Linked DNA regions of Astyanax mexicanus. The main gene of each other region encodes a partner of the protein of the gene in region 2 in a complex. Links are inferred from orthologs where the notes say so. Each region holds a gene or a part of one and is shown on either strand. Other genes may lie near its edges.

What was found. Proteins that work in one complex are often made in the same cells at the same time.
Region 1: the proteins of tln1 (region 2) and amyloid beta A4 precursor protein-binding family B member 1-interacting protein are in contact, whole or in part, in a crystal structure (PDB 4W8P), measured with the Mus musculus proteins. The link is inferred for Astyanax mexicanus from reciprocal best matches to the Homo sapiens genes TLN1 and APBB1IP. Residues at the interface, in NP_035732.2 of Mus musculus: Leu1492, Ala1495, Thr1496, Val1498, Ala1499, Thr1502, Ser1503, Cys1506, Asn1507, Arg1510, Val1526, Ala1529, Lys1530, Ala1533, Asn1534, Thr1536, Ala1537, Val1540, Ile1543, Lys1544, Asp1547; in NP_062329.2 of Mus musculus: Asn5, Ile8, Asp9, Met11, Phe12, Thr14, Leu15, Glu18, Met19, Leu21, Leu22, Ser25.

What each region holds. Positions count from the first base shown.
Region 1 is NC_064413.1:51,204,959-51,213,126, reverse strand, and holds the start of amyloid beta A4 precursor protein-binding family B member 1-interacting protein, read left to right. Parts: upstream 1-4,762; 5' UTR 4,763-4,941; intron 4,942-8,168. UniProt on the Homo sapiens protein: Appears to function in the signal transduction from Ras activation to actin cytoskeletal remodeling. Suppresses insulin-induced promoter activities through AP1 and SRE. Mediates Rap1-induced adhesion.
Region 2 is NC_064427.1:27,067,712-27,076,214, forward strand, and holds the start of tln1 (talin-1), read right to left. Parts: upstream 3,507-8,503; 5' UTR 3,312-3,506; intron 3,282-3,311; exon of another isoform or gene 3,185-3,281; intron 1-3,184. UniProt on the Homo sapiens protein: High molecular weight cytoskeletal protein concentrated at regions of cell-matrix and cell-cell contacts. Involved in connections of major cytoskeletal structures to the plasma membrane.

The DNA.
Region 1 (8,168 bases), on a different chromosome or scaffold from region 2:
CTGAGTGACCGTGTGCAGTGGGAGAACAGCAGCACCAGCATCTCAGTTTACCACAATTTCCTCTGTCCATGAACCCCTGAATCTGCAGCCTTACCTAAAGGGAAAAAACATTAATTACCAAAAGCTAAACTAAACAAGTAAGTTTTCAGTCTAGACTTAAAGATTGAGACTGTGTCTGAGTCCCGAACATATTCGGGGAGATTATTCCAGAGTTGAGGCGCTTTATAAGAGAAAGCTCTTCCTCCTGCAGAGCTCCTCTGAATTTTAGGAACTACTAATAAACCAGCACCCTGAGATCTGAGTAATCGCGGTGGTTCATAACAGGAGATGAGGTCTTGTAAATACTCAGGAGCGAGTCCGTGTAGGGCTTTATACGTTAACAGGAGAATTTTATAGTCTATGCGGAATTTGACTGGAAGCCAGTGCAGTGCTGATAGTACTGGACTAATATGGTCAAATTTTCTCGTTTTAGTAAGGACCCTGGCTGCAGCATTTTGAACTAGCTGAAGTTTATTTAAGTTACTGCCGGAACATCCAGACAGTAGCGCATTACAATAATCTAGCCTTGAGGTAATAAATGCATGTACTAATTTTTCTGCATCATGCAGTGATAGGGCATTTCTTAGCTTGGCAATATTACGGAGGTGTAGAAAAGCTGTTCTAGTAACATTAGATATGTGTTTATCGAATGCTAGATCTGAATCTATGATAACTCCAAGGTTTTTAGCTGCTGAACCAGGGGTGGCTGAGAAGTCAGCCAGATTTAGCATTAAGTCTGATAATTTATTTCTAGCAGCTTTGGGGCCTAAAAGGAGAACTTCTGTTTTATCACTATTTAATAGGAGGAAGTTGTGCGACATCCATGATTTTACATCTTCTACACAATCCTCGATTTTCTTTAATCTCACTCTGTCATCAGGTTTGGCTGATATGAAGAGCTGCGTGTCATCCGCATAACAATGAAAATTCACATCATGTTTTCTAATAACTTTGCCCAGTGGGAGCATATATAATGTAAATAATAACGGTCCTAATATAGAGCCTTGTGGAATTCCGTATCTTACCTTGGTAAAACTGGAAGACATATCATTTAACCTCACAAACTGATAGCGATCGGTTAAGTACGATTTAAACCATGCTAAGGCAGTTCCGGTTACACCGACCATGTTCTCTAGTCTTTCTAAAAGGATAGTATGATCTATTTAGTATGATCTAAAAAGACAAATAAGCACTAACAACACATACATCCTGTGACAGTGAAGGCCACATTTTAGTTCAGTGATTTTAGTTAGTGATCATGGGTTTCCCTCAGTCCTGTTACACATTACAAGTCACATCTACAACAGGAAGTGACATCAGCTGGTTCTTCTGAAGATCATGGGAAGACCAAAATTTCCCAAAGTTCCCTCATTAGTTTTTCTGTATATTTGATATTATTTTAACTATGACTGAGGAGCTCAATCTTAACACTTATTTCTGTTATCTAAATTAATTCTTAGACATGGTTTGTTTATTTTAAAAATCACTATAATGTGCCCAGTTTCCTGGTGCTATTAGCATTGCTGCCATTAAGCTATTTTTCATGTTTTTTATGCTAAAAATGAATTCCTGATACTTTCAGTCCTGTTACTTAAAACATAAAAAGTAACAGGAATGAGTGCCAGTAACAGGAGTGAGTGCCAGTAACAGGAATGAGTGCCAGTAACAGGAATGAGTGCCATTAACAGGAGTGAGTGCCAGTAACAGGAATGAGTGCCATGAACAAGAGTGATTTTTTTTGTCATAGATATCAATTATTTTAACACGCAGCCAGCAGTCAACTATTTCTTTAAAATAAAGACTTTCTTGAGAGAAAATCAAAGAAATGAGTGGACTTGCTTTAAACATGCTTTTTAAATGTCACATGAGTTTTGTCACCATCTTTTGGATTAGAAACCATGTAAATAATTAAGTAAAGTTGCCTGAGATTGACCAGAACCTGTTTTGAATAGTTTAATATACAGGGGTTGGACGATGAAACTGAAACACCTGGTTTTAGTGCACAATAATGTATTGTGGTGACGGACAGTTCTGGTGGAGTTGAAGTGCACATTGAATTCTGCCGTGATTTGATCAGCCGTGGTTTTATGTTTTTTGGATACAATCCGGGTTAGCACCCGAACATCCCTTTCAGACAGCTTCCTCTTACAGCATCCACAGTTAATCCTGTTGAATGTGGTTGGTCCTTCTTGGTGGTATGCTGACATTACCCTGGATACCGTGGCTCTTGATGCATCACAAAGACTTGCTGTCTTGGTCACAGATGCTCCAGCAAGACGTGCACCAACAATTAGTCCTCTTTTGAAGTCTGGTATGTCACCCATAATGTTGTGTGCATTGTAATATTTAGAGCAGAACTGTGCTCTTATCCTGCTAATTGAACCTTCACACTCTGCTCTTACTGGTGCAATGTGCAATTAATGAAGATTGGCCACCAGGCTGCTCCAATTTAGCCATAAAACCTCCCACACTAAAATGATGACAGGTGTTTTAGTTTCATTGTCCAACCCCTGTATGTGTTATTAGATTCAGAATATAAAAAATAAGTTGGAACTATGCCTGATAATTCCAAGCATGGGCTAGAGGAGTAAAAGTCCCTATCTGGTTGGCTTCAAAATGTCACAATGGAAGTAAATGTTTTTTATATATAGTCTTCTCTTATAGTATATACAGTTTATTGCTTATAAACCTCTAGATATAGTATGCTTGGCAGCTCAAGGCCAACAAAATGTTGCTAATTGTCCATTAGAATTCTTGTCTGGATACTTTTGGACACACTTATGACGCAGGGAGTAACCCAGGTCATAAGTGGTGCAACACTGTGTCTTATTCACTGTAGTCAGGGCAGTTCTTATAGCTGTCTGCTCATCCTCACTCCGACAGTCTTATCCGTCCAGCAGAGTTACGGCTTTATCTTGGAGAGAGTATTTCAGGCTGGATGACACCCAGAACGGCCCTGTGGAATTCCCAGTGTTTTCCTGGGCTCTGTGTGGGCTGGGCCTCAGCAAACTTCAGACAAAAGCCAAGCCAGAGATGGCAGTTCCACAGAGATGTGACGCGTGCCTCACTTCCTCCACACTGTAATAAATCATCTACACATTAGCCAAGGATGAGTGAAACCAAATGTCGGTTTCCCTTCCAGTTGCCTTTTCCCCTCTTCTTCTTCCCTCCTCCCATTTCTGCAGACCACAGTGACTACATCAGGCTCAAACTTCATTCAGACACTTTTTGGCGCCACATCAACATAATATACAACTAAGAGGGTCTTTGAGGAACATCAAAGATGATACATTAAAGATCCTGTCTGAGGAGCATCACAAACATCTCAAAAACAGCACAAACCGGAAATTTATATTATTAAAGGAGAACTCCGGTGTAAAATTGACTTTTGATTTAGAGTACTAACCTTTGTTAAATAGCCCACCTCCGCTCTACCACAGCTTTCCAAGATCCAGTATTTTTTTGCAGTTGTCCAAACATGCTTAAGAAAGGATGATATGGGGCATATTTTGCCCCTGCAGATAAATTGCTTTTTGCACCATTATCCAGACTCAAAGAAGCTCCACACCACCTGCATTTGTAGAACCTGGAGAGCCATTAGTAACTTCAAAAGTGCACGAGAAGCTTATTAAAAACAGCTGTTTACAACCCGTAGCGTAACCTAATCTCTGGGTGCCGCCATCTTAAGGTAAAGGTAACTGCTCATGACACTCTCTGGAGATTTACTTTGAGCTATTTGAGTCTGTATAACAGTGTAAAAAGCGATTTATCTGCAGGGGAAAAAAATGCCCCATTAAAACCCACTCTAGCCTGTTTGGACAAACTGCAAAAAAAATAAAAAGAATGTAATCGCTGCATCGCATGTGGCAGAGTAATACATGGAGAGCTTTGGTTAAAGTGCATTACCGGCTGATAACAGTACTCATAGAATGCCTATCAGCCAATCACATTGCAGGGTCGGAACTAACTGTGGTATGGGTATCTACTTTCAGACAGTGCAGACTTTTAAAAAAAAATCTGAGGCACTCTGAGCCCTGTGCAGTAACAGGAACGTCTTTGCCTGGGGTCGACAAGCATGCATCATCAGTCCCATGAGGTTGTTTGAATTATAATTAACAATAAAGAAAAAAAAGAAATAAATAAAATGCTCCTCTAGAGAGCTTTTATTTTCCATCCTCCCCTATCTCTCTCTCTCTGTCGCACTTGGTGTGTCCGTTCTCGTTTCTCCACCTGTTCTTGGGCTCCTTATCTCCTTATAAGGGCGTTTTTTTCCAGGCCGTGTCCCAATTCACTAGCCGGGGCAGTGGTAGTGTATTGGACCATGTTCTTGGCGACACAGGTTCAATCCCGCATGAGGAGTGTTAATTTCTTTTTTCTTTTTTTTTTCCTTTCTTCTTGGGTTTACCTGCTTTGAGATCAACTGTTCTGCAATTGGGTTCAACAACCCTCTGGGCTGGAGATTTTTTTTTTGTGGCCCTCCACATAATGGCTTGGAAAATATCTTGCCAAATCCCTGATCTATGCTTTGTGTAAAACCTCTCTCTATATATATATTATGTGGAGTTTCTTTAAAATCTAAAGCTTCTTCACAATAATCTCCAGCTGTGATGTTAGGGGAGTGTGTGAGCTGTGGGTGATGGAGTGTGGTGGAGAGGTGTGGTCTACAGCACTGCTGCTGGCTGAGGAATGCACTGAACAGGTCTGGACCTGAGCTTCCGTGTTTAGCAGGAAGTCAGTTAGATGTCAGAGAGTCGAATGCAGCTCAGCTCACCCAGATACATGTGTCGGGTGGTGGCCACAGGAGGAAAGCCCAGCAGAAAAGCTGCTATCTGAGGAAAACAGGAAAACCTTCATTTATGAACCCGTTATTCATCAGCTGAGTCCAGAGGAAATACACCAAAGGTAGGCTGGGTGTGTTTTCTCTCAGTTCTGAAACACTGCTAACGGTAATGATAATCACAGAACTGCAGCCTGAGGAGCTTTACTTCTCCCCTCTCAGACACGCTGCTCCTATATACAGCGCTGATCAATCATTAACCCACAGAAAGTCGAGATTAATGGATTAATAACTAACCTTATATTGTGCTCTTATCAGTGTACCTGAACCAAAGTCCACCCTATTGTTTTCCCCAGAGGTGTAAAATATATTGTAGAAGTCAGTATTAGCTGTTTTTTAATCGTCTTATTAGATTTCTCTATTGATTGTGATGTAATTATTATTGTATAAAACCATTAAAAATGTTAATTACTCAGTACATATGATACACTGTTCAGAAACTGCTATTAATTATTCAGCATCCATTAAGAATGGTTCAGTCTCCACCATTAATTATTCAGTATATGACAATAATTACTCAATATCTACTATGGATTGTTCGGTATAAACCATTAATAGCTAACTAACTACTAAAATAATTAAGGACCTATTATGACTTATTTAGCATTTACTATGATTTTTTCATAACCCATTAATTATTCAGTATGTACTGTCAATTATTCAGAATCTACCACAAATTATTTAGTAGCTACTATGAATTATTCAGTATCTACCATGAATGATTTGGTACCTACCATTAATTATTCAATATTTACTATGAAATATTAATCATCCACTACAAACTGTTTAGTACCCACTATGAATTATTAATTATCTATCAATAATTATTCAATATGTACCATTAATTATTCAATATCTACTTATGGTAATCAATGATCTACTACAAGCTTTTAGTACCCACTGTGAGTTATTCAGTATATATCAATATTTATTCAGTATCTATTAATAATTATTCAGTTTCTACCATGATCTATTAGGTATCTACTACAAACTGTTTAGAACCCACTATGAATTATTCAGCATCTACTATGGATTATTCAATGTCTAATATTACTTATTATTTACTACAATGTGTTCAGTAGCTACTATGAACTATTCAGTGTCTACTATGAATTATTCATTATCTACAATTATTGTTTAATTATTCAGTATCTACCATAGATTATTCAATATCTACTAATAATTATGACATATCTACTAGAAATTGTTCAGTAGCCAATATGAAGTATTCAGTAACTGCTATGAATTATTTAGTATCTACCATGAAATATTCTGTATTTACCTGTCATTAATCAGTATCTAGCATTAATTATTCAGTGTCTACCCTGAATTATTAAACATATACTATGAATTATTACGTATGTACTCTAAATTATTCAGTACCCACTATGAATGGTTAAGTATCTACCTTTAATTATTTAGTATCTACCATTAATTATTTAGTATCTACCACAACTACTGCCCCTAATAATGCTGTTTTCTGTCTGTAATGCACACAAAGGAAAACTCTAACCTTCTAATACAAAATCTATATTAACAGAATAAATCAAATGAACTAAAATAAGTAAGCTTTTTTATGTCTGTTGGATTGGAGGCCATACATAAATACCAACATAGCCATGAAAAACGTGTTCTAATTCACATACAATCAAGCTCATTTAATTTGCTTCTCTGGCTCTAGTGCTGTTATTTTTTTTCCAGTGCAGTGGGCGGGGCTAAGCTACTGTTTCATTGGCTTATAAACTTTTTCATTGGCTCATTGGCAACGTTATGCATTCATTCACTTTACCAGCCTTAAGCTAATATTATATCATATTTGCGCTACTGTTGTATACGGGTTCTGTTAATACTTGTACTGTCATCCCATCTTAATCACCCCCCCCCCCATCACTATTGCACTATTGTCTTCTGTCTATGTATGTCTATTTGTGTCCTTGTTGTATTGTACATATAGTGTCTCCCATTATTTTATATTATATATCTATTTCCTGTTCTTGCTGTAATTTTTGGGAAGGAGAGTAACGTAATTTCAATTATCTGTATGTCCTGTACATATGCAGTATTGACAATAAAAAAAACTACTTGACTTGACTTGACTTAAATATAGGATGGATCAGACTATACATCACTGCCTTAATAAAGCCTGGTTTATGTGAATAACGCAGGTCACGCTGGGACTGGTCACCTGAGGACAGATTTCAGACAGAAATAGATAATACAGAGTGACAGAGTGAGCAGGACTGTGTGAGTCAGGACTGCAGGACTGGGTGTGTTTATAAACTGGACTGGGCTTTAGTGAGATATGCCCAGTCCGGATGAATGATAAACTGCTGTCTTGTGATGAAGTTTCAACAGAACTAAAGCAGAAGGAAATCGGATTGCAACATCTCCTCTCTGTTCTGACACACAGCGTATTATTGAGGGCAGCAGCGGATTAAAGGGAATTGTTTTAGCACAGTTTCCTAATTACCTGAGCACAGCAGCACATGATTGGCTGGCACTATAATTAAACGAGGCCAAATAACACCTGTGCTGTTGCCACACCCAGTCTGTCTTACTACACCAGTGAAGCAGCACTGTGAGCTGCATGTTGCGTTTTCTACGTTCCTAATGCAGGAAATGCTTACTCGATGCCTTCTTGCCCACACTATCTCACCAAGAGAGCAAACGAGGACCCTCCAATCAGCTTAAGCGGTAAAACTGATGCTTAAAGTTCATTCAAATCACATTTCCCTCCCACGATATGACGTATTTGTGATTGTGATTGTCATTTCTCTGTGTTATAGGTGGGAGGGGTAGGAAGATGAGTAAAGCTGTGCTGTTATTGGTTAATAGTGTGCTTCACTTTCTCTGTGATCATAGTGACATCATCCAATATTAGAAAATGTAACATGTTTTGTAATGTCTTTTAAAAACTTTGAATCATTTTCAGTATCAGTTATTCATTTTTTAGTAAGAAGTAGTATGACCTATTCATTATTTCCTATGGATGATTCAACCTTTACTAGAATTCATTCAGTGTCTTGTATGAATGTTTCTGTAACCAGTATGAACTTTTGAGTATCTCTTATTTATTATTCAGCTTCTACTAGGATTATGTAACCTGTATTATTTATTAAGTAACTAGTATAATTTATTCTGTATGTTTATGAATTAATCAGTAATTATTCAGCATCTACTCTGAATTATTCAGTAAAACCAAACAGTTAATTGTGTTTGATATAACATGTAGTATATGAACTGTTTTACAGGTTGTTTATTCTTATTCTTATTAGTAGTAGTAGTAGGAGGA
Region 2 (8,503 bases):
TGCATAAACCAAAAGGCAGAACGAGACAAAATTGAACTGAATGCTCTTTCAACCACCTAAGAAAAGGGAAGAACCCATACAGAGAACGCCTGAGGATGAACCACCCCAAGACCCATGCAAACCATTGAGGCAGCATAACGACTATGCCACACAGTCCGCTGTCGGCACAATGTGGGTCAAACTGCATGGAAATTAATTGCTGGTTCATAAAGCAATTTTGCAGTGACAACACCCGCTAACCTTGAATAGATAGATGAAGAGATATCTGCTGAGTGACGGCTCTGCTGGAGCGAAGTCAGTGTTTACTATGATAATTACACCCTACTGGTTAGCAGATTACATGTCATACTTTGATGTGGGTAACTGGAACATTTGGCAAAAACAAAAATGTGTCATTCCTGACAAACAATGCCAAACAGTCTATTTCAAAACACTTTCACATCTAGTAAGAACTTTAGTATTCCAGGTAGGATAATCCATCAAGATAGCATATCTTCTAAAGCGAATACTGTATTTTTGCATGCCGTGTCATACTTAATGAGGTAGTTTCCTGGACAAAGATTAACCCTAGTTGTATACTATATTTTCTTTAAATGGGAAATCTCTATCTCAAAATGCTGTGTAGGCTAAAAATCTCATTAGCATCCTGCCTATCCCCTTCCCTTACCCAAAATGTAAGCGATTGGCTAAGACATGTTTAAGGTCTGAAGCTTGCTTATATTAATTTAACCTAAAAATACTGTAATACTAAATTTACAGTGCTAAAAGTAAGTCTCTGACACTCTAATTCACACTAATTTAGATGACTTCAGTATTTACACTAATAGCTAAAAAAAAAAGACATGTCTTGGCCAATCTATCAAGTTCGGGGTAAGAGAAAAACTGCAAATTTAACTTCTGGCTAAATCTTTTCTTTATGTCAGCAGTGTATGCAGGCTGAACTGTTCAGTAAAGGTGTAATTCACAGTTGTACATCTTTACACTCTCAGCCTCCTAGACTGTTTCTCCAAATATGTGCAGACTTTCCATCCCTGCAGGGTGCATCTTTTCCTCTGATATCACCCATCTGACAGCTCCTGTGCAGCCACACATACGCACGCACACACACACACTCTGTTGTGCCACCCTACTACCATGCAGGAAAGCATACAATGAAATGAAACATGGTGATAGGTGGCAGGGTCAAATTACTACTTACATTACCTGGAACACCAAGCCCAGCTGCACCAGGGAAATGTATTTGTATACAAACAGGGACCAAATATGTGTAGAAAAATTGAGCACATACACAAACACCCAATCTCTCAACAGTTCAATTGTACTTATAGGGAGGCGGTCTCCTCTTTGCTGCTTTAAAAGCTTCTACTCCTCTGGGAGGGCTTTACACTAGATATTTGACCACTGTTGTTATGACTGCACTGAATCACCAGAGTGCTAACTAGTGAGGTAAGGTACACATGGCACCATAGCTCATCCCATAGGTATGGCATGAGGCTCCATCAACCCAGAGAGATGAGAGACATATAACTTGCCCCTCAAGATGTAGTGATTACAAAGACAGTCACAAAGTAAAATACATGTTTTACTGTTTTTAATTTAGTATTTTGAAGGTCTTTTTGTTTAAAAACAAAGTGTACATACCAGTCAGCATATAGCATACACTCTGTCTTGAACTTATTTGACATGTTGGACATCCTGTAGTTACAGTACGCAAGCACACAGTGCAACCGCTGAGCAACTTGTTTAGGAAAATTTTGGAAATGTCTATGCCTACAAACATTATGGAATATATCATATTGATTTATGCAGTTCTGTATAGGATTGTATTGTATTTTGGAATGTATGCTTAAGCCTCTTTTAAGCCACTTTTTTTGTAAATACAGAATCCCTTTAATTTTTAATGTTATGCCTCCATTAAATAAAATAAGAAAGAAGAATTTGGTTTAACATTCTAACTTAAGGTGAAGTGATCAAACAAAGCCACATAGGATGCAATACCAGTAATTTACTTGATGAATATCGTGTTTAAATAACATTTTAACTTTTAAATACCTTTTAAGATAAAATATTTAAATATGTATATGCGCAGCAATATGAAGTTAAATATTTTATTACATACATAGATTTTAATTTACATTTTTGCTTATTTAAACACTGTTTTTTATTTGTTGCCAACATTAGGCAGTCAAGTCTTAAGACATTGGACATTACAATCGTAAAATATCATGGTACTATTACTTTGGTACTTCTACGTAAGGTGTAATTTTTTCAACTTTAACACGGGTAGCCACATGATTTAGGCATTTCGTCCACCTCTGTCTAACCTAGCTGAGACTGGCACTGGTCATGATGACCTTAGCCTCGTGAGTGGCTGCTCCAGAGTGCCTCATTCTACCGGTAATGCTCTTCTATGTTGGACAGTTAGCTAGTTAACCTAGTGCGCACACATTCAGTACACTTTATTATTACTATATATCTCTCTCTCTCAGTGCCCTATTCAGTAACTAGTTAAGTTCACTAGCTGGCTAGCTTTGTTAGGAAGTTTTTTAGCATTATAACGCTTGAAATCATAGCTACATTAGCTAATTAGAGACACATGATCTCCAAATCTATGAGTAAGCACTGAGCTTCAGACAGGAGGTCAAGATGAGCTGTACACTTGGCAATACTTTCTAGGATGGCGGCTATTACACGTTTGTTAAACTAGAAACGTGACATCAGGCATGAAGTTGACCGTTACAGGCCCGAGCTCATAACTCAGCTAACATAGGTTAGCTCACTTAAGTTAAGCTGCCGTACTTGACTTTTTACTCCCAAACTCTCATTAACTCACACAGTTAACGTTAGTGTACTTTGTATTCGGGCACATTACAGCTATTGCCACTCATAAATACAATTTTAACACAATATTTTAATAATCAAAGGTTAACAATAGGCTTTCAGAAAGTATGAGAACTGTAACGCTAGCTAATCTTCCGCGTTTCATATCAACAGGTTTAGGTTTAGCCAGTAAACCGTTAAAGCTGAGAGAACCTAGCGTTAGCTAACTAAAGTTAGCTCAGCATTTCTGCTCTCATGTTCTCCAGCTCTCTCATTCCTCACAGCATCTATTTTGGAATTTATCGTAATTTAGTCGAATAGTTCTGCATTAAACCCATAATATGACAGAATAAAAGTAACTTACACTACTCGCTAAATAAACTGCAGAGAAAACGCGTTGACTGAGGGCGACTCGTCGGAAGGAACTTCCCACCCTTCACAAAGTTTTCACCAAACGTTTCTTTCCACAGACAGTTTCCACTTCGCCTTACCTCCCCGCTTTCCTCGACCTCCGGCCGTCCACCTTCGGACTACAGTCGGTGTAAATATAGTCCCGTTCCCCAGTCAAAGTGGTGTAAGTTCCAGAAATGTTGGTAAAATGTCAGATTCTGGGTTTTTTCCTTGCCTCCGTTTGTCTGGTTGAGGCAGCGTCAAAGCTCCACCCTGCAGCAGCAGCAGCAGCCCGGCTAACGCTATTTTTTCCCACACCCGTATCCGCACAGGCCACGCCCCTCCTCAAAAGTGATTGGTCGTTCAGCGACTAGACTCAGAACTACTCATAGACGTGTACATGAAAAAGTAGTATAAGAAGTACCTTTGTAACGAATATCTTATTTTATAAACGTGACCAATTTACTTGTTTTCTGTGAATCTGTGAAAAGATTTTCTTTATTTTTTTCGTTCTTTCTGTCTTTCTTTATTTATTATTTTCCTTACTGTAAACCAAATATTAACCATGTCTCTTATGGACGTTATTGTTAATTTGTTATTTCTCTAGTGTGAACCAAACATATGGAACATGTAAAAACCTATTTTGTTCTTACCACTAGGTTATTTATACATATGTGTAAGTTAGACAGAACTGCTCCTAACTATTAAGCTTAAGCTTCCTTTAAACTAATAAATAACCCTCCAAAAAGCAACAAATGTCTGATATCTTATGAAACGTATGTATAACTTAATTTTGTTTTTGTCATAATTTATGTATATTTATATTTTCTGTACCTTGAATATCCTCATAATTTATATGTTGTAATTATGTGTGCAGCATTTAATATCTATTACTTATACTGTATAACAATAAAAAGCTAAATAGTTTATTGTTAAAAGTAAACAACAAAAATGATGTGAAAATGTGAAAAGAACATAAGCCTAAACACGCAGATAAAATATATATTATTTATTTAGTGATTTAATTAGTACTCCACTTTAAAAAAAAAAACAAGTATTGCCACAATAACCCAGCAAACACACAAAGTAGTTAAAACGTGGTTTCCTCTAACAATGTTGCTACAACATTGTTTAAAGTTGGCCCTGTTCATTGTCACAACTTTGTTTAATTAGGCAACACTCCCTCTAAGTAATAAGACTACAGTACCTTTTGACTTTCTGACTTTCTTAGATGTCGGTCATGTTACATTATGCATTATCTGGCAACAAAACACATTCTATTTTAGAACATTGTTGATGGCACAACGTTGTGACAAAATAATCAACATAACCAAAACAACCGTGTTTTTTTTTTTTTTTGGTGGGAACAAGCTAAAATAAAGAGGTCACAAGAAGATTAGAACTGCAGTAAGAGAGAATAAAACGTCCTAGTCTGTGCCTCAGCCAATCTTATTATAGGGGGGCGGGGCTTGGCGGAATAGGAGTGGAGTTAAATTATACCACTCTGAGCTATGCAGACAAGCAGAGGGCGTAGATATGGTAGATTTCATAAACCGGATGCCTTTTCACTCAACAACAAAAGCCAGCCAGGAGGGGAATGTTCTGCAGATCTTCACAGATAGAGAAGCAGCGGAACGATACAGTTCACAACTTTCATTTTCTCTCTTTCTTTCTCTTCTATTGTTTCTATTTTTCTGAGAGGGGGCAGCTCATGTCCTCCACAACAAAAAATGCCAGAAATTGAGAAATTTTTGCTATTGCTATGGTGGTCCACTAGAACACTCCACTGCTGATAAATAATGTGGTTTATTTAAATTAAAACATAAAAGTATAGACGAAAAACTTAAGCTCAGCACTGCAGCTCTTCCTTTCGCTTTTACTCTGGAAAACAGGCCCACTATTACAGCTCCATCCTGTGGTCTGATAGTAAAACAGCAGTACAACAAAGTTCTGTAAACAGAAAATAGACTCGGTTGTCAATGGAGGTCTATATAATCAGACAAAACTCATTAAAAGGTTCTTGAGTTATGACTTTCTGACAACACACCAATCATATTTCCAGCCTAATCAAGCACTTTTTAACTTCTTAACAGGCAAATATTTTTTTTAATTTTCTGCCTGATATTATAAGACTAAACCTTGTAATAGCATTACATAAAAAGGTTTCACGTGTAATAATAAACGTTACTGCAAATCTGAATTGTAAGTGTAATAGAAATTATTTTAAAAAAATTACTTTAAAAAACTTTAAAAATATAATGAATAACAATCGTAACATTGGCACTTTCCTTAACTTCATTTTAAAAATCACTATTTTCCAGAATACAAATCAAACATTTCATGTCCTCCAAACTTTTCGTTTCATTACAGTTGTCTAATTTTTGTCTACATTCAAACCTGCAGAATTTGGGGTTAATTTATGTTACTGATCTAAAATGATAAAGTAGAGCAGAGAATGAACAGGTAGCTTCAACAAGTAACCTGTAGGAGTCTCTCTAAAGACCACAAATTTTTCAGAATGTGAATAACCTATTTTACTGCAGAGAATAAGGATTTTGTATCATCTACACTCGTAGCCTGTATACGTTCCAAAGCCTGTAAAGGGGTTAAGTGGCGGGGTTATTCCTTAAATATAATTAAATAGCTTGATTTTTACGAAAATTCTCTTCAAAAGTTCAAGATATGTCTTTAAAAAATGTGTTATTTAAACACATTGTAAAAAGCAGCACTGCAGGCATGGCAAAAACAAAATGCATAAAAAAACTGTTGCATAAAGCTTTACATAATTCTATAATTGTAATGCATCAATTCAGAGTGAATATTAATATATATTTTAAACAGCTGAGTCATTCTGGTCTAATTATGAAAGTAGATTTTTGTCTAAATAAATGTACAAAAATAAATTAAGTTTGTAAAGATTTTGTACACAGATTTATTGTAGTCTTCCTCTTATTACAATAAAGCGCTTTTGGAAATGTTCCAAATCCACATGAAAATATAAATTCTAGGGTTCCCTATCTTAGAAACCTACCACATATGACCATAACCTCATTTTCTGCCAGGCGCTGGCCTACCATTCCCCCAGCAGTGCAAACTCCCAGTTGCCACACCAATCAGCGCCCCCTGGCGGCCAGGTGTTGAACGCCAATTTAAATAGCACAAGCAGAAATCTCCATAACTTTATCCACAGCACGTCCTAAAGCTGCTGCCAGGCCACCAGGCACAATGGAAATCAGCTGGCACAACTTAACCATGTGGATAAGCTACAATACTGATGTTCCTCAAATAATGTAAATGTAAATAACGGGGACAAAAAGGTTATAATTCTGATCTATTGGCTCATTCACAATTCTTTGATGGGAAGGGAAATCTAAATATTAAGATTGATTCATTATGGCACAGCCGAAACAATTCAGTGTTTTATACTTTATTCAATAATTCTCAGCAGGTGGACAAAAAAACAAACAAAAACAAAAAAACACAAGCATTTATTTCTTGTCTTTATTAAATGGCACAATCTTCAAAATTTTATTTAAAACAAAATATGAAAAACAAGCAATAAAAGTGCATTCTGAATCTGGATTGTTTGAAGCTGCTGGTCTATTGGCATAGTTTTCAGCACTGCTACAACACAACTTGCTGATTAGATAGTAACATGAATGAGTAGATGAACAGGTGTTAATAAAGCTCTAAGCAAGTGCAAAGTGTTATGATGCCGTTGGTCTTTTAAAGTAGAAGTGCTTCAGTAGAGCATACTAAAGGAAATCTGCAGAAAAAATTGAAGTTTGCGTGGATTTAAAAAATAAATAAATAGAGCTAAATATCAGCATGAACCGACTCATCAACCGACTCATCAACCGACTCATCAACCGACTCATCAACCGACTCATCAACCGAAATCGGGTTTAACGTTTCTTATTTTCAAATCAGCGACATGGAACAATGCATTGACATCCCGAATTTCCATTTTAATCCTAGTTACTAGCAGTTACTACTGTTTAAAGAGAGATGTTCAGTAGTCTTACTAGTTAACTAGGTTCTATGATTAACTTAAGTTTGTAGTAAAAAATATATATAATAATAATAATAATAATTATTATTAGTTCATTAAAGTTTGACAAATTAAATTATATAAATAAGGGTTAATTAGCTAGCCAATTTAATTTCATACAACTCACGTTAATGTTTGATTGGTAGTTGATACTCTTGGGTAATGCGCATTACTAGCATAGCGTTTACTGGGCTAAAGCTAGTCTACGGCCTGAGGTGTGGAAACTAGTCATTATACACAGTTTGTCACAGTTTGCTGTTAATTAATCTATTCTCACCAGCTGTGTGAGTGACTCGCGGTGTAGTCTATTTACTTTATAAACAGATTCTTAATTATAAGCAGAAAACACCTTACTTACGCCCAAAACCTACTATTAAAACCGTAGCTCCACGTCGGGACAATCAGTTGGTGCCTACTAATTAGCTAGTATTAGCTAAGTTTGCATTGGATTGTTAGCTAGATGTTCATTAGAAGTCTTAACTAAAGAGCTCAGTGGTATATAAACTACCTGCCTGGCGTAACAACTACCCAACCATTTACCTGGTAAGATAACGGTGTTCAACAAGACCTACACCTGAAGAAAACCGAAAGGAATAAACTTAACTGAGAGAGGGGGGGGCTCCGTTTTCATGTCCTCACTACTATAAACTACGGTGGCCGAGAAAGCCCAACGCAGTGCAAATTGAAAAGCGCTGCAAAAGCACAAAACACATCCATCAAAATTACAACACAGGCGCAGCAAATAGAAAAACGCGCTGCAAATAGAAAAACGCGCTGCAAATAGAACCACAACACAACGGAAGTGAGTCACAACACAACGGAATTTTCCCGGGGGACCTTAAAAGATACTGTACGTCTCGGACTTCACTATGTGTACAAAAGACAATAAGTGGCAAACAAGGCGTTTTGTGAAGCAGAACTTTTAATAATATGCACACAACCGTGGCAATCACAGGTAATAAACATAACTTACTTTTCAGAAGCTTGTTTGCCACTTATTGTCCTTTGTATACAGCTGGTACAGCATCTTTTAAGGTCCCCCGGGAAAATTCCGTTGTGTTGTGACTCACATCCGTTGTGTTGTGGTTCTATTTGCAGCGCGTTTTTCTATTTGCAGCGCGTTTTTCTATTTGCTGCGCCTGTGTTGTAATTTTGATGGATGTGTTTTGTGCTTTTGCAGCGCTTTTCAATTTGCACTGCGCTGGGCTTTCTCGGCCACCGTAATAAACAGCGTTCTCACTG